Cricetulus griseus: one gene and its partners. The protein of the gene in region 1 interacts with the protein of each later gene in a pairwise test. Links are inferred from orthologs where the notes say so. Each region holds a gene or a part of one and is shown on either strand. Other genes may lie near its edges.

Evidence for each region. The genes of interacting proteins can lie anywhere in the genome.
Region 2: the proteins of Cdr2 (region 1) and cysteine-rich hydrophobic domain-containing protein 2 interact in binary tests that used the Homo sapiens proteins (3 or more experiments, as listed by UniProt). The link is inferred for Cricetulus griseus from reciprocal best matches to the Homo sapiens genes CDR2 and CHIC2.
Region 3: the proteins of Cdr2 (region 1) and Hdac4 interact in binary tests that used the Homo sapiens proteins (3 or more experiments, as listed by UniProt). The two-hybrid records come from large-scale screens. The link is inferred for Cricetulus griseus from reciprocal best matches to the Homo sapiens genes CDR2 and HDAC4.
Region 4: the proteins of Cdr2 (region 1) and C1H4orf46 interact in binary tests that used the Homo sapiens proteins (3 or more experiments, as listed by UniProt). The two-hybrid records come from large-scale screens. The link is inferred for Cricetulus griseus from reciprocal best matches to the Homo sapiens genes CDR2 and C4orf46.

Annotation. Positions count from the first base shown.
Region 1 is NC_048596.1:79,675,855-79,679,847, forward strand, and holds the start of Cdr2 (cerebellar degeneration-related protein 2), read left to right. Parts: upstream 1-1,193; 5' UTR 1,194-1,448; coding exon 1,449-1,524; intron 1,525-3,993.
Region 2 is NW_023276807.1:141,545,309-141,549,482, forward strand, and holds the start of cysteine-rich hydrophobic domain-containing protein 2, read right to left. Parts: upstream 2,803-4,174; 5' UTR 2,486-2,802; coding exon 2,367-2,485; intron 1-2,366.
Region 3 is NC_048595.1:443,657,392-443,661,569, forward strand, and holds the start of Hdac4 (histone deacetylase 4), read right to left. Parts: upstream 2,803-4,178; 5' UTR 2,788-2,802; coding exon 2,762-2,787; intron 1-2,761. UniProt on the Homo sapiens protein: Responsible for the deacetylation of lysine residues on the N-terminal part of the core histones (H2A, H2B, H3 and H4).
Region 4 is NW_023276806.1:74,581,993-74,586,134, forward strand, and holds the start of C1H4orf46 (renal cancer differentiation gene 1 protein), read right to left. Parts: upstream 2,803-4,142; 5' UTR 2,617-2,802; coding exon 2,440-2,616; intron 975-2,439; coding exon 819-974; 3' UTR 1-818. Other genes in the region: Etfdh (electron transfer flavoprotein-ubiquinone oxidoreductase, mitochondrial), read left to right, coding at 3,269-3,302.

The DNA of each region.
Region 1 (3,993 bases):
GAGATGTAGCTTAGGGGTAGTGATTGTCTGGCATGTACGAGGCACTAGGTTCATCCTTAGCACTGAAAAAATAAATTAGGATGAAGTTTTCCTTTCTCCAAATTACCCAAGACCTTATTCGTTTATATGGAAAAACAAAAGTAGCTGAGGATCTGTAACTTCTACCTAGCAATTTCTCCTATTTTTAACCATAGTAATTTGTGTACTTTTTTTTTTTTTTTTTTTTTTTTGGATAACTGCTTTCCATCTTAGTTCTGGTGACACTCCGGATGTGTATGAAGGCGTTACTAACTTCAAGAGGTATCTAGCGACTCACTATTGCCAAAGCTAAACGTTGACTTCTCTCCCCTCACTTGTTATAATTCTTCTCGTTTCCTCCTTAGACATTATCTATTAGCTCTAACATCCTAACAGCTGCGCCGACCTTTCTCCGTTTTAGAGTTTTCACGTGAGGCACCCGAAGGTGCTAAAAGCTCAACCCAAGAAACAATTACGTCTGCGTCACCAAGCGGACACTGCCCTGCTGGCCACAAGTGCAATGCCTGCTCCCAGATGTTTACCTTGGGCTCTATGAACGTTTAAAAAATTATGCAAAACTGCTGGCAACTTTTGCCAAGGGAGGCGTTTCCCACGGGCCGGTCCCAGCCTTCGAATGTCAAGTGGTGCTGGTGACCGCCGTTTTAGGAGTTAATTGCCATCCCCCCAAACTCAGACATTCAGGAGCAGCTTAGGCTCAATAGCGTTCTCTCGGCCTTAACCTCGCGACGGACCCTGAATCTCCCTCCGCGCATCACCGAGGGCAAAGCCGAGGAGGGCTGTCCCGCTTTCGAAACCTTCGGTGGGAAAATGATGCCCACTGCCCAGAGCCGGGAGTCCTCCTCAGTTGGGTACAAGACACGCCAGGGAGCCGAGAGGGTCGCCGCAGCCGCCTCCACCAGGCTCCGGAACAGGAGTGTATTCACTGAGAAGACGAGACGCTAACAAAAGGGGCGGGGCTGCCGGCCGCACCCTCTCCGCCTTTACCCGCCTCCTTTGTTCCTTCCTGAGCGTCTATTGGCCAAAGACACTCGGGCCCGCGACCTTCTTTGAGATACTATTGGCTGAAGTCGCTGTCGCTCTACCAGGGACCCATTCGCAATTGGTCAAGGCGCCGCCCGGGTTTGAATCGTCTCCCCGGCCTGGGAGGGCTCTGCCAAAGTGCCACGTTGGGCCGGGCAGCGGGTGTGTGGTGCCGGCTGCGGGCGCCACCCGGGGTGCGCTCTCTAGGGCGCTGGCCGTTGGGCGGCGCGAGGCGGACGCGGGCCGGCGGCGGGAGTTGCGGCGGGGCCGGCGCGTCCCGCCCGAGGGCGGCTCTGGCTGAGGGCGGAGGGGCCGGGGGACAGCCCGGGGCAGCGGCCGAAACGGCACGGTGGCGGCAGAGCCCGCTGCCCCCGGACACCCCCAGCGACATGCTGGCAGATAACCTGGTGGAGGAGTTTGAGATAGAAGATGAACCGTGGTACGACCACCGGGACCTCCAACAAGGTGAGGGCGAGGTCGCCGGGGTTGGGGGGTGGAGGCCCGGCAGGCGACAGGTGTGGAAAGTACTAGAAAGTTCCTTAGGCTGGTGGTCTGGGATGCGCGGCCGGGGGCTCCTCACTCTCACCTGGCAGCGGATCCGCCCATCCCGGCCGCCGGGAGCAAGCGCGCGGCCCTCGGCCCTGCGGATGTGCAACGCTGGCTGATGCTCGGCGCTTTAAGAAAGCGCTTTCTCGGGGGATGAGCGGATCTATCTCCTTCGGGGACCTCTGAGGTGGGCAGGGGTGAACCAGTGTGCCCCGCTCTAGAAGCAAGCTGCTGACTCTGCTTCTGGTCCTGCTGCCCTGCTCGCCCTCATGCGCTTTTCATGGCCCGCAGAGTCTGCAAGCCGCTGCAGGTGGTGGGGGTGCAGTACCGCACAGCAGTGCGGTACCCGCGCCATCACTCTCTGAGAGTGATGTTTTGTTATCCCGTTTCCCAGAAAGCAGAAGCTGAGTTAGGTGGACTCCCTAAAGCCGAATATGGGAGCTAGTATTTTTGATCCCACGCACTCGGGATGAGGAGCCTGTAGACACTGTTCGGACCTTAGCACCCCAGTGTACAACTTACAATTGGGTGTCAAACTGTTTTGTTTTGATATATTACTTTGGCGTCGTTTATCGGGTGCCAAGTGAAATTATGTGAGAAGAGTTCTATTATGCCTTTTTTTTTTCATTCGGATTTTCAATTAGAAATTATCCTGCCTTGGCTTTCTTGATTGTGGCATCTCCTGAGAACAATCTCAGAGTGCCCTCAGTTAGAAGCCAGTGGCCCATTTTCTTGCACAATCGTAGTAGGATTTTTCGCTTGAGGACACTGATAGGCTCTTAACACAATGATGGGCGCCTTTAATTCTCCCAATAACATCATGTGTTGCCATAGGTTACCTCTGGCTCAAGTAGATACTGTTGGGGAAATGAGGTTTTCACTGCAGACTCCAGAGCAAACATTCTTAACCACCATTCAGAGTGATCACCAGGAATTCTTCCAAGCATCCTGTTTGTTCTATTCTAGAGAATTATTTCCACTCTAAACTTGTAGTGAAAATTATCATCTTTGAGTTGGCTATTAAACACGGCTACTTGTTCACAATTCCACTGAGTTTGATAGAAAAGAAAAATGTGGACTTGAATGACCCTTACTTAGAAAAGAGAAAAAGAAAACAGGTACCTCTCTGGACAGGTGGTAATTTGTTATTTATTTCTGTCTGTCTTGATCCCTTAATGTGCAACGACTTAAGCCCAGATGGATACCTGTACTTGTATAATTGAAGCTACCTAGCAGTTACAATGCCGATTTGCTATCACATTTCTCCATGTCCAGAAGACGAATGTGTCACATACTTAGCCTATTTCAGATTTGCCCCATAAGGATTGATGACCTACTTTGATACTTAAGGACTGAAGCAGTCATCATGCGATTGCAACATTCTACTATATGAAAGCAGTTCATATAATCCAAGCAAGAGATTTTGCTTTGCCATATTTAAGAAACATCCAAAATCTTCAAGGGTAGGCTGGTTATACTTGTCTAACATCATATATAACACTTCATAATAGAAATGTGATTTAATAATTGTTGCCCTGAATTGAAGCTCTCTCTCACACAGGATTACTGTTTTCACAGCTTTCCTCTAACCAGTGCCTACTCTAACCTGCTTCCCCAGAAAGTTGTCAGGACAACCAATTTTAATATCCCAATTTACTGAGCAATAAACAAAACACGTTTGGGACTATGTGTGGGATTCTTAACTTCGGATCAAAATGAAGTTGTCACATCTTCATGTTTAGCAAATCCTAATATCTGAACTTATTTACTGTCAATTTCCACTTGGAATTTCTCCTATACTTTCCAAAGCCTTTTACATCTGTTATCACAACAGTAGACTTTGCCATAGCTTAAACAGCATATGGAGTACTAATAGGAGACGTGAAATCCCAGCTGTTAGCTCGTCAGTATGCAGCTGAAAGAATAATGGCTGCTCTTTTGAGCATATTTTCTCCAATTTTGCTAACTTGTATGTTAAATGCTTTTGTGTATTTGGTATTCCAGGATTGTGTGCATGCAACATACCACTGAGCCATTCTAGAACTAAACTTTGAACAGAATTTACAACTGTTTCTCAAGAACATATTGTTTTCTCTATACTAGGTATTTTTGGTTTTTGTTGTTGTTGTTGTTGGGTTATTTTGGTTTTTTTGAGACAAGGTTTCTCTGTAGCTTTGGAACATATCCTGGAACTCATTCTGTAGACCAGGGCTGGTCTTGAACTCAGAGATTCGCTTGTCTCTGCTTCCCGAGCACTGGAATTAAAGGAGTACGCCACCACCACCTGGCTTTATACTAGGTATTCTTATAGGCAGTGGCACCACTATCCTAGCCAGCTATCTGTTAGGAAGGCAGGACTCCACTCGGGGGTTGCTGTTCATGAATCCA
Region 2 (4,174 bases), on another chromosome or scaffold:
AATTAATAAAGGCTAGTATTCCCTGAGCACAGCAACACACTGGTGCACTCTTTGCATACATTATCTCACTTAATCCTTAACCTAGCTAGCATCACGTGAACTGAAGAGACACAGATGGGTAATTTATATAAGCAGCGGAAGACGGTTATAACCAGGCTACCAGAAGTGCCTGAGGAAGATCACAAACATATGAAGGCTTGCTGCTACTGTGTGCAAACACCACCATCACCAGTGTCTGGAGCACAGTTCTGGCTACAAATCAGAACCACCTACAAGACCCTCCCCTAACCCCATCATGCACCAGAGTCTCATTCATGTGTGGACTGATGGCCTGGAGAAGGGATGGAGCAAAAGCAGGGGCTCCGCAGATGATTTTAATGGGCAGACAAACTAGACTAAATGAATCACTGTTAGACTTGCAAATGGCAGTACTTATTTACAATACTGATAACAATAAAGAGGCTAATGCTTATTAAGCTCAATGCCAGGTGATTCTAACAGATGATAAGATGAAAAACCACTAATAATTGTTTTCCACTCTGTTAACCACTCCAAATAGTTGGCTACAACCTAAATTTACTGACCATCAGAGCACTTTGCCTATCTACTTCCCAACAAAGTGTTTGGCTTTTCTTCTTGAAGAGACATTACAACTGTACTTGAACCTTTCTTTCTGTTGTGCTGTTCTGAACCCAGGGCAAGCACTCTATACCACTGAGTTTCTTCCCCAGCCCTGGCTGAACCTTTGTAAATAAAATTCTGCCAGCTCTGATTAGACATGAGGACTTTAAGGACAATCACAGATAACATGAAAAAGTTTGGAAATCCCTTTGAGCCAGTGTCTCTCTATACAGCCCTGGCTGGCCTATAACTCACAGATCCACCTGCCTCTGCCTCCTGAGTGTTGGTATTAGACAAGTGCCACTGAGTCCGTGGGCTTTTTGTTTCTTTACATTTAAAACAAGAAGAAAAAAGTCCTAAGAGTCAAACTAAAAATTAAATATCAGGTTATGATAGTAAAAACACTGAGATATACACTTAAGTTGTATTATTCACTATTGGCTATATACCTTAATTAAGCGTGTGATGACAGTTAAAACAGAGCTGTTATTATGGTGCAAGTCCCATCTCCTTATCCCAGGTCCTGGGACAATGATTATGCAGTCTTTTTACCCTGTTAAGTCACCTAAATACACACTTAACAGATGCTAAGAAACCAAAGCATTACATAAGCATATCCAAACAACAACATGGCTTGTCAGTATGACTGCTCTCAACAACACTGAGAAATGCAAGGGCTCTGCTGACAATCGGATGAGAAGTCTCACTGTTTCACTGACTTATTCACAGCACATCCCACTCACCCTACATCAAAACACAATGAAGAGTGCTCCAGACATCTTCAGGCTCGCCCCCTTTTTATATCAGTGATAACTCGACATGCAAGTACAGGAAGTGTGAGCTGTGACTTTTAACCAGAGATACCAGCTGCGAAGGAGTATCGATACCCCAACTCCGGACTTATCAGAGAAATGTTGCAAAACTTATAAAACTTCCTCCTTCCGGACAGCTCATTATTTGCTTCAAGTCTACACATTCCTTTATTAGTCATGACCTTTCAGGGTGCTTTCATCCCGTAGTGTTTGAATATTGGACTTTTGATGGTGCCAATAAGCCTTACAGGAACCCTTATCAAACAAGAAGCCAACCTAGAGTCCGTGCCCCTAAGCAGAACGATTACAGGACACTCAGGACTTGTGATTCGTTGCAAACATGTATCTTTCTGCCTATTTTTATGTCCACCTATATATTGCTATTATATATAATGGCAGAGACTTAATTAGTTCTGCAGAAATGTACTCTTAGGGAACTCTGAAGCCCTGTGGGTATGTGTCAAAAACAAGACGGTGAACCTTATTTATCAATTGCCAGTGGGGTCTCACATCCCTGATCTTACCTCTGAGCCATATGTCAACAGACCGTAAGGCACAGTCCCAAAGAATAACGGGGGAGAGGGGCAATTTACCTGGATGGATCCCAAAAATACACATGCACTTCCATCCCTGGGCAGAAGGGATGGCCCATAAAGCAGACCATCCTTCCTGCTGGGATCCCACACATCCCCAGGGCCGTGGGGCCTGCTACAGGGCTTGGGAGGGAGGGAAGACAGTGTCTGTCCCCACTTGGGAGTCCTAAACAAACGGCAACAGAGCAAGTTCTCACTTCCTGGTCGCTGGCGTTTCCACAAGGCCCCCATCCCGCGCCAGTCACCGGAGACAGGGGTTCAAGGAAGGACGACTCCGAGGGGTACCGGGGCCCACCCAGCCCGCGCCTCCCGTCCTCTCCTAGCCCTCGCAGGGCCTTACACGGTGACGTGACCGGAGCCGCGGACCACCACCGGGTCGGGCGAGTACTTCAGCAGCTGCTCCTCCAGGGCCCGCTCCTCGTCCTCCTCCTCCTCGTAGATCTCATCGAAATCCGCCATCCCGCGCCTGCGAGCCCCGCGCCCGGGGCCCTGGCTCTGGGGCGGCCGCGGAGAACGGCTGGCGAGGCTGCGGGCGCGGAGGCCGCGGGGCTGGCGCTCGGCAGTGTCGGCTCTGGCTACTGAGGAGACCCGGTCCCGGGCGCCGCCGCCGCCATTACCGTGGGCAGGAACAACAACACAATGTCAACATCCGCCGGGGCCGCCACCCCCGCCAGCGCCGCCGCAGCCGCCGCCGCCCGCAACTCCGGCAACCACAGCAACAGCCAGAGCCACCCGCAGCAGGAGCAGCCGGCTACCGCATCGCGAGACTTCCCGGGAGCGCGGGCGAGCGGGCGGGCGGGCGGCGAGCGGGCTGGCGTGGGCGCGCTGACGGGCGCGAGCGTGGGGCGGGCGCGCGCACGCGGCAGGCCTCGCGCGCTCCCGGGACGCCGGCCTTTTCCTCGGCTTCTACCCGGCGCGGCCCCGCCCCCAGGCTCCAGGGTCACCGACCCGGAAGGCGGCGTCTGTGGGGACGGGGGCGATGACCCTGGCTCGACTCCGAGAGCCAAGCTGAATTCATCTCTAGCCCAAACAACGACTGCGGACCAAGCCCCTGGCTGGAAGAGAGAACCTCTCTTGCCTGGAACTGCCGGCTTAATCATCTGATCTCAATGTTTGTCAGTGTATTTAGTGCGAACCAAAAGTTGGTTGACTTTCCCAACTTGAGACCAACAGAACAGTGCGTTCTTGTCCACATTTAAACCTGATTTTCCATAAATCTCCAAAGTCAAATATCTTGTCCTTTTAGCTTCTCAAGTACAGTCTCAAGCATGAGAGAGAGACAGAGACAGAGAGGAGAGGAGAGAGAGAGACACACAGAGAGAGAAATCTCGCCATCATACTTTATAACAAAGTTGACAGATTCTCCGGGTTCCAATTAAGAAAATTCAGTTCTATGTCTCAACTCCATCACGAAAGATAATCTGTTCTCTTCCATTAAAACTTTACCCGCTTCCTCCACAAGAAAGGGAGGGGGTGGAGAAGAGGAGATGGAGAAAAGGGGAGGGAGGAGCAGTTGACTTAATGGATGGGTCACCTTGGACTTGGTTTCATAATCAAGAGTCTGCCAGGCATACAAACAGCACAAAGATGGACTCCTAAGGACAAAATGGACAATGGAGTAATGAGAGTTTATCACTGAGCTGGGGGTGTCCAGTACTGTTCTCCATATAGTGTTTACATCCTTGAAGTTCACTTATGGGTCTTTATTCGGGCAGAAAATGTAAAAGGTTAATGTGGGTGGTTGAAAAATACTGAACAACTAAATATTGGAAAGAGTTGAAAATGGGCAGTGAGTTAGGAAGGGAAGAATAGTTGATATGTCCGACCTACTTTCCCAGATGTATTCATTCAATAAACACTGACCCAGCTATGTGGCAAGCAGTGTGTGTGTGTGTGTGTGTGTGTGTGTGTGTGTGTGTGTGTGTGTGTGTGTGTGTGTGTGTGTGTGTGTTGTGTGTGTGTGTGTGATAGTCTCTGGCAGTAACATCTGTCATTAAGGCAAGCAATTGTATTTCTCTTATCAGGTGTTCAGAGGGTCTGCCAAGGTCTCCAATGGTGCACACATGTAGGAGGCAGCTTAGATTGATAGTTCTGAAACCTGACCTTGAATCTCAGTCTATCACTTGCTATGTGACCCTGGACAAGTCA
Region 3 (4,178 bases), on another chromosome or scaffold:
AACTGAGCCCACTCTCACCTGTATCTGCGACCTTCTCAAATTGTCCAGACACTCCACTAAGGGACAGAGCTTGTCAGACATATTAATAAAAAACAGTAATTTTTTTGTACCAAGTAGAAAGAACCACCATGAGGTAGGACTGGAAATGGCCTAGAGACAGAAGGTCACTCATTTTATATAACATCAGTGTTCCCTAAGCAACAGAGGCCCAGCAATGTGCAACCTACACGAACACATTTTCAATACAGACACATGCCACATGACATTCAAGTCAACAACAGACTGCATATAGCAAACACAGGGTGGTCACATTAGAAAGGATCATCATGTGACAATGTGGTCACCTTAGCCTGTGTAATATTCACACAATGGCAATGATGACAAAGCTACACAATACATTCCTTCATAGAGCTGAACTTGGCTATGAAGTCACAAATAAACTAAAGATAGGAAAAGATCTATCACACAAACCGTGCAGGTTAAGCACCACTGCCCAACTGACTCTACTTAGAAAACCCCCAAGAGATGAAAACCCCTCTGTGTGTCTGTGAGGGCCTTTCTAGAAGCACTAAGAGCCACCGTGATATAGGAAGCACCATCCCACAGACTGAGGGACCCAGAAAATGAAAGAGGGAACTGGAAGAGCTAGTCTAACACCAGCAGCCAATCTTTCTGCTTCCTAGCCCACCATGACCTGACCTGTTCTGCTCGGCCACACCCTCCCTACCCTCTTGAAATCATAAACCAACATAAATCTCCCCTCCCTTGTAGCTGTCAAGTATTTGGTCACAACAATGACAAAAGTAACTAACAAACATTAACCAAGAGCAATCTGTGAAGGAGACATTAGCATCAGACAAAATAAACTTTAGGCTCAAGTTATCACATAGGATGCAGAGGCCCAGTTCCTAATGGCAGAAGGATCAGTAAGCTGAGGAGTAAATGAAAACCACACTTTACACTAGAAACAAAACTAAGAAAAGCATGAAGGAAATGGGCACATCGACCATTACAGCTAGGATCTCAATGCTTATTCTTAGGAACTGTCACAAAAGCAGGCAGAAAACTAGCAGAATACTAGAAAACACACACACACTCACCACACACACACTCACTCACTCACACACACACACATACACACTCACACACACACACACACACACACACACACACACACACACACACAGCCCTCAAGGTGACTCAGTGACATTTACACAACACTCACTATACAAAAGCAGTGGAAGCACCTTCTTAACACACAGAGCAAGCACTGAAACAGAACACCTTTAGGCCCATTAAAACAAGTACCATTAAGTTTAAAAGGACTCAAGTCACATAAAATAAACTTATCTTACTAAACTGGAATTAATTTAAAAATCAGTAACAACAGAAAAGTATCTTTAACCCAAAGTATTTGCAAACTAAATAATACATTTCAGTTCGCCACACACCTGTGATCCCAGCATTTGGAAAGTAGAGGCAAGAGAATCAGCAGTTCAAGGCCATCCTCAACTACACAGAGTCTGAGACCAGCCTGGGCTACACGGAACCCTGTCTCAAAATAAACAACAACAACAAAAAAGGAAAATAAATGAACAACAACAAAACACTTCACAAATGAAGAATTGGAAGGCACTTTGCAATGAATGAAAACAGCAACACAAGATATCAAAATATGAAATGTCCAGCACTGAATCCCCATGTTAGAAAAGACACTCTTGATTCAGTGATGGCAGTCTTTACTTCAAGAAATTAGACAAGAGCAAACCAAACTCCAAAGAAACAACAAAGAGACAACAGCAAAGAGTAGAAATCAATTGCATGAAAAAAAAATGGAAAGAAAGAAGAAGGCCAAGCAAAGTGGGGGACACCTGTAACCCAGTCATTCAGGAGGCTGAGGAAGGAAGACAGCAAACTCAAGACTGTACTATACAGTGAGCAGTGTACAGTACAGGAACAAAGAGAGAAAGAAAGGGGTAAATCAATGTGATTGCAAAGCTTTAGGCAGTCGATGATGAAATGCTATCAAGAAGAGGGGATGAACTACAGACTAAACAGTAAAAGGACAAAAGATAGCATCATAGACAACTTTATGCCAAGGACTTACATAAAATCAACAAGAGCCTTGAAAGACCTAAATGTCAATTATTTGGAAGGACAGACACATAACAGGGGGTATCTTCTGGATCTCAGATACATCAAGAGGGCCCATCTGCAACTGTTGCCATGGGGGGGGGGGGGTGTTTGCCTGATGGTGGCACTTGGCTTCCTTCTCTTATACATGTTAGTTCAAATTCAACGCTGAGGGGTCCTTATCTTTGCATTTGGTCACTTGCATTAATGAAGACAGATGAAAATTTCTTCTTTGCAGTATGCTAATAATCCAATGTTATCAACTTTCTCTGGCTTATTCACTTGACTCTGTCTACTGGAGCTCCATTAAATCAGCTGCTCATGCTTTCCTGATGTTTTCCATCTTTTCTGTTAAGCATTTGTTTACATCAACTCAGTACTGACGCCTTAGGTCCCAAGCTAACTAACCACTGCAAGATTTCTGCTAGTCACCCTTTCCTCACTTTTAACACCTTTCTCTAACAGTGAGAAACCTGGCTTCTACAATATACAATATATTGGTTATGTTCTTATACACTCATAAGTAGTTTCAAAAGCCCTACACATGACAAACAAGCTCATGAGGAGACAGCACTGGGCACTCAACACTGCTTCTGTCCTCGGTCTTCCAAGGCTCACCCAACCTTACCCAGGCACTCTTCCAGAGCTGCCCATGCATCACTTCAGGACGTGGGCTGTGCTTCTGCAGAAAGAGGCTTTGATGCCAGGGTGTATGTTCCATTTGGGGTTTCTCCATTCTGATGGGTCTAAACTGTTTATCATCTCCATATGTGATGACTAAGAAATAAAAACATGGGCTGATCTTAGTGGTGTTCACCTTTAATCCCAGCACATAGGAGGCAGAGGGAGATAGATCTCTGCGAGTTAGAGGCCAGTCTGGTCCGCATAGCCAGTTCCAGGCCAGCCTGAGCTACATAGTGAGACCCTGTAAACAAACAAGCAAGCAAATAAATAAATAAAATACAAGTTTAGTAGAAAAAATATCTATAAAGGTAATTTTAAATTTAAGTTTCTTGTGGTTTCTGCATAGGTCTCTCTTGCTGAAGGGAAGGTTTCACGTTATGGAACCTGATGCAAACACAACGCAAAGCAAATAGTACAACAAACCCAAGACACCAACTTCAATCATTATGAACACTCTGCCATTCTTGCTTCATCCACATCTCCTTCTCCACACACTGAATGCACAAAAACTAACTGTAAATTTTTGCAGGTAGGTGCAGCTACAATCTATTATGAGTTTGTTGGCTTGGGTTTTTATTGTTGTTTGTTAATGCACTGCCAAAAGCATGATGAAAATCAGCTTCAGTGCCATCTACTCAGAGCTCTGCTACCAGAAAAAAGGTTTTCAGAAGATGTCACCTTCCATGTGAGAGAGGCAGAGCCTATGGGGTCCTGGTCAGAGAAGAATTTAGTAGGGTCTGGAACAGGCTGCTATGATAGCACAAGATGGCTGAGTGCTATCTCTAGAGCTGGAAATCCTGCCTTCCATTAAATCACACACCAGCCTCTGGAGTTCCTTCTTGGCCAAAAGACAGTCCCTAGTGCTACCGCAGACTATTTCAGAGCCAGGCTGGGCCAGGGCCCATGATCCTAAGAGAAAGACAAAAAAAAAAAAAAAAAAAAAAAAAAAAAAAAAAAAAAAAAAAATCTGGATACAGAAGTAGAAGACTAAAGATGACTAGAAATGAGCAGACCGATGAACCAAGCCATTCATCACAGGTATGGGAAAACAGACCAAGGTAGGTCAGAAGACAGTTAGCATATAGGCCCGCTGGCCCAGGGTGCTCCAGGCACCACACAAATGAAAAGATCTGTCTGTAAGAGCCAGAGAGAAGGTAAGTAACTTTGATTTATGGGTACCTTGGCCATCCTGTTAACTGCAGTCTGAGACTGGGTACAAACTTCTACAAAGACATCTCTTGCTGCATTTCTCCTCGGGCTCTATACAGAATAAGTAGCATGATGGCTTCGTGTGCTAGTTTACCTGGGTTCCTCACACCTGCAACTTGGAAATTCTGAAATCCTAGTTGGCTTGACTTCAT
Region 4 (4,142 bases), on another chromosome or scaffold:
GTATTCTATAAAAGTTTCCATTTTATGAAGTAAAAGCTTTTTAAAAATGGGACCACAGAATGGGAAAAATATTTTTTAAAAGTCATCATTAAGATTCAAAAGCCTATACTGGGTATGGTATTGAACACCAGTAGTCCTGCCGTCCAAAGAGACTAAGACAAGAAGCCTGGGCTTCACAGCGAGATTGTCTCAAGACAGAAAAAAACTCAAATTCCCACAAAAAAAAAAAAAAGAATACTTTTCCTTCAAGCTAACGAAGTTTAGATTCAAAGAAACAATTAGTCTTCATCCTGGAAAATAGGAAGCAAATGTAGCTTCTAATTACACTTATCAAATCTTAGTCACGGACACTGAGTATTGTGTGACATGGCTTTGGGTGCTGAGATAAGGAAGTAAATAAAGCGCCATCACTGGCTTCAGAGTTGGTGTCCTAGAGCTGGACCCACTACCTGAAGTCATCAACTGCTTTAGGGAACAAACCAAGCTCAACTCCAAACTCAGCCAACCTTGGCGTCTTCTCAAAAACCAAATAATGATCTGATTGCACTGAGGCACTAATAAAATCCATTTCTTACTGATGGAATTAGCTCCCATAAAGGAGTCTGCAAAAGTGTAGAGGGCAGAAAGTATTTAAGGTAAACACTGACCTAACAGAGAAAAGAAAACAAACAAGCCTTCAGTATTCTGCTCTCTCAGAAGTTAAGAATACCAAGAAAAATTTCATTCTCAGTCTAAATGTCTAGAGACAGGCAGCCCCATAAATGTGGTCCATGTGCAAATATCTTATGTGTGAGTCATTAACCAACCACATCTGCAAGTCAGTTGTCGGGTTTCAAAGAATCATAGCCTTCTTTCAGGAGGTCCCGCCACGTCTTAAGGAAGCGTGCATTTTCTGTACATTTCAGGGCAAGCTCTTCCACCTGAGCGGATACCGCAGATGTGGCTTCAAGAAGTTTAGTTAATGAAAATGCTGCCTGCAATTTAAAGAAAGAAAAGTGAAATGGGTTTGTTTGTGGTCCTAGGAACAAAACCCAGAGCCTCCACCATTGGGGTACACCCTAAATCCCACACATGCTTATTTTTTAAATTCCTATCTAATTTAGATGAGAAGTTTAACTTCTCGTCGTCTAAAAATAGCTTAAAATCTCCAATCAAATGATCATGTATTTTTCTTTGAGAGAGAGAGAGAGAGAGAGAGAGAGAGAGAGAATTTTCAAACAAGAATACTACTATTTCTTGAACCCAAACCATCAGAGCAGGGCAGGCACATAGTTCTTTCCCTGAGCTACACTCATAGCCTTTATTTTTTTTTCATTATGTAACTTGAGGCAACATATCTGCCATAAAAATACTCATTGCACGTGACACATGGCAAGTCATTGTTTTTAAAGGAAAACACACCCAACTCTCATGTATTTCACCAAGGCAACTTGGAAAGCTCTTGACTAGACGTGACAACCATCTAAAAGACTTCCTTATAAACCACTCTTGCTGATAATTAGGTAACAAAATCACTGTTCCAGTATTTTTACCTATGAATACTTTTTTTTGAATACAAAAAGATGTGAAATCGAAGACCTGATACTCTGAACTGACAGAACATCTAAAATTACACACACAGCTATGAAAAACTCACTTTTAAATCAAATGGTTTCTTCATTAGAGATATAAAATAGCACTTTTTTTGGACATGACATAGGTACTTGGTCTACACATTTATTTGTAACCAGTATTGTTTCAAAAAAAAACAAAACAAACAAACAAACAAAAACCCTGGAGCAGCACTTCAGCCATCTCTTTAAAAAAATCAAAAACTTGTAGCTCAGTTCCCAGTTTCCAATCTTCGCCGGGCTGTCCTTCCAAAAAGCTCTCCCAGGAAGGTTACCCGCTAACTGCTACATACTTCATTTGGCTCGTCGTCCTCTCAAGAGTCCCTAGAAAGTGAAACTGACACCCTCCAACCCCCTCAGCGGTACGCGTGTTGAGGTCGGGTGGAGATTTCTGGGAATTCGAGATTGTACAACAACTTTACAAAGTGTTTGCACTGCCGGAATCAGTGAGGCGTCCTGTCTAATCCATCAGGGAAGCCGATGACCTCAGCGGCCGGCTGTGATTAGCCCTGGTCCACGTTAAGTCCCACCCAGAACGAGTCTGCGACACACAATAGTATCACCAGCTGGCTCTAGGCTGGTGGCAAGCTCAAGTCCCTCCGAAAGAGCCAATGGGCAGGCAAGGATGCTATGACTGCCCAAAGCACTCTGAGAGATGCAACGGGAGGCGGAGAGCTGACCCCGATGGCGATGCTGAGGGGACAGCAGCGGGAGAAGGTCAGAAAGGAGCGGGCGGACAGAGCAGAGGCTAGCCCTCAACTCTCTGGCCAAGAATCGCAGGCAGGAGCACCCGGGCTACAAGCTGCGACCCGGCCCCGGCGACACTCACGTCTCCGATCTGCAGCTCCACTTGCTCCAGAGGGTCCACCGTTGGGGCGTGGGTTCGACTCGGACTCCGCCAGCCCAAACTCACTGGCATGCTGAGAGACGACGAAGAGGCGCCTGAAGACGGAGACGAGGGAGGCGGCGGCGGCGGCGAAGCCCGAAATTCCTCGGGGTCAGCCATGGGGCTGGGCCGGGGCCGCCGAGCCGGACCAAGTAACCGAACCCACACCAACTGCCTTTCAACAGCTCGCGCCCAAAGCCCATAGGCTCCGCCTCCTCCCACACGGGGTCCCGCCCCATCTTCTCGTAGGTCTCAACCCTGTACCACAAGGACTTTTCATTTTCCCAGACAGCCAATCAGATGTGAAGCCAGTCGTCACCCCGTTCCTGCGCACACCTTCCGGTCGGCTCGCAGGACGCTGGAGCTGGACACTACAACTCCCAGAATGCTGAGCGAATTGTCCCCGCTATGCTTGCAACGCGCGTGCGCTCAGTCTGGGGGCGGAGCCTGTAGACCTCTTCCGCACACTCGGTTCCTGGATAAGGGAGGATGGCTGGGAAATGGAGTCTTCTGACTTTTTTTTTGCTGATACGTGACCCGGAAACCTTATTGGCCGTCGCGTCCTCCGCGGCGCCGGCGCAAAGCAGAAGAGAGGCGGGCACGCCGCGATGCAAGGGCGGTCGGCGCAGCCCAGGGACTGACTTCAGCCGGGCAGTCGGGGCTTCTTGGCAGGTGATGGCGCCCCCCGTGGCCTGAAAGTCCAGCGCCCTCGGCAAGCGGCAGACAGGCCTCTCTCCGTGTGTCTTTGTCAAGTCTCCGGGCTACTTTGAACATGCTGGTGCGGCTAGCCAAGCTGTCCTGCCCTGGTGAGACAGAACTCCTGGTGGGGACAGACAGATCAAGATGGATAAGTTGGGGCATACCTGGGGAACTGCAAGCACCTCTCTCCTTATCTGCTTCTTCGGCTAAACTGGAGCAGAGATCAATGCTGTCAGCGCCTGTTGCTGGACCCTGACTTCCCGTCCTTGACATTGTCCCAGTCGGCAAAGTTAACTTCTAGGTTAAAGGTCATGAGCGCAGGAAAAATGTCAACACTCCACTCCTCTGTGGAGTCCTCCCAAATCCCGGTCCTAATCTTTATCCCAAGGCTCAGGTAGTATCTGCTGCCTTGTTAGGAAAGGGAAAGAAAGGAAAACTTGTGTGGGATTTCTTCTTGACTCTGACCTGACTTTCGTCTTTGTAGCCATTCTAGTCCAGTCTTTATTATTATTATTATTATTATTATTATTATTATTATTATTATTATTATTATTATTATTAGTTTTTCGAGACAGGGTTTCTCTGTGTAGCTTTGGAGCCTATCCTGGCACTCGCTCTGGAGACCAGGCTGGCCTCGAACTTACAGAGATCAGCCTGCCTCTGCCTCCCAAGTGCTGGGACTAAAGGCGTGCGCCACCAACGCCCGGCTTCTGGTCCAGTCTTAATGTGAATTCTGAGCTGTCATATCGTGTTAACCCATGTGCTGCCCGTGTCACCAGTTGTGTCTGGAGCTCCAAAGTTTTCTGCATTATTCTCAGTTAACTCCAGGCGCTTCTATTATGAGTGCTTCTTAAAGCGGTTGGATTTTTTTTTTTAATTTTACTTAAAAACAACCCCTAATTCAAACGGAAGTTTAGAGGCTCTTGAATTCTGTTGTAACTGGCTTA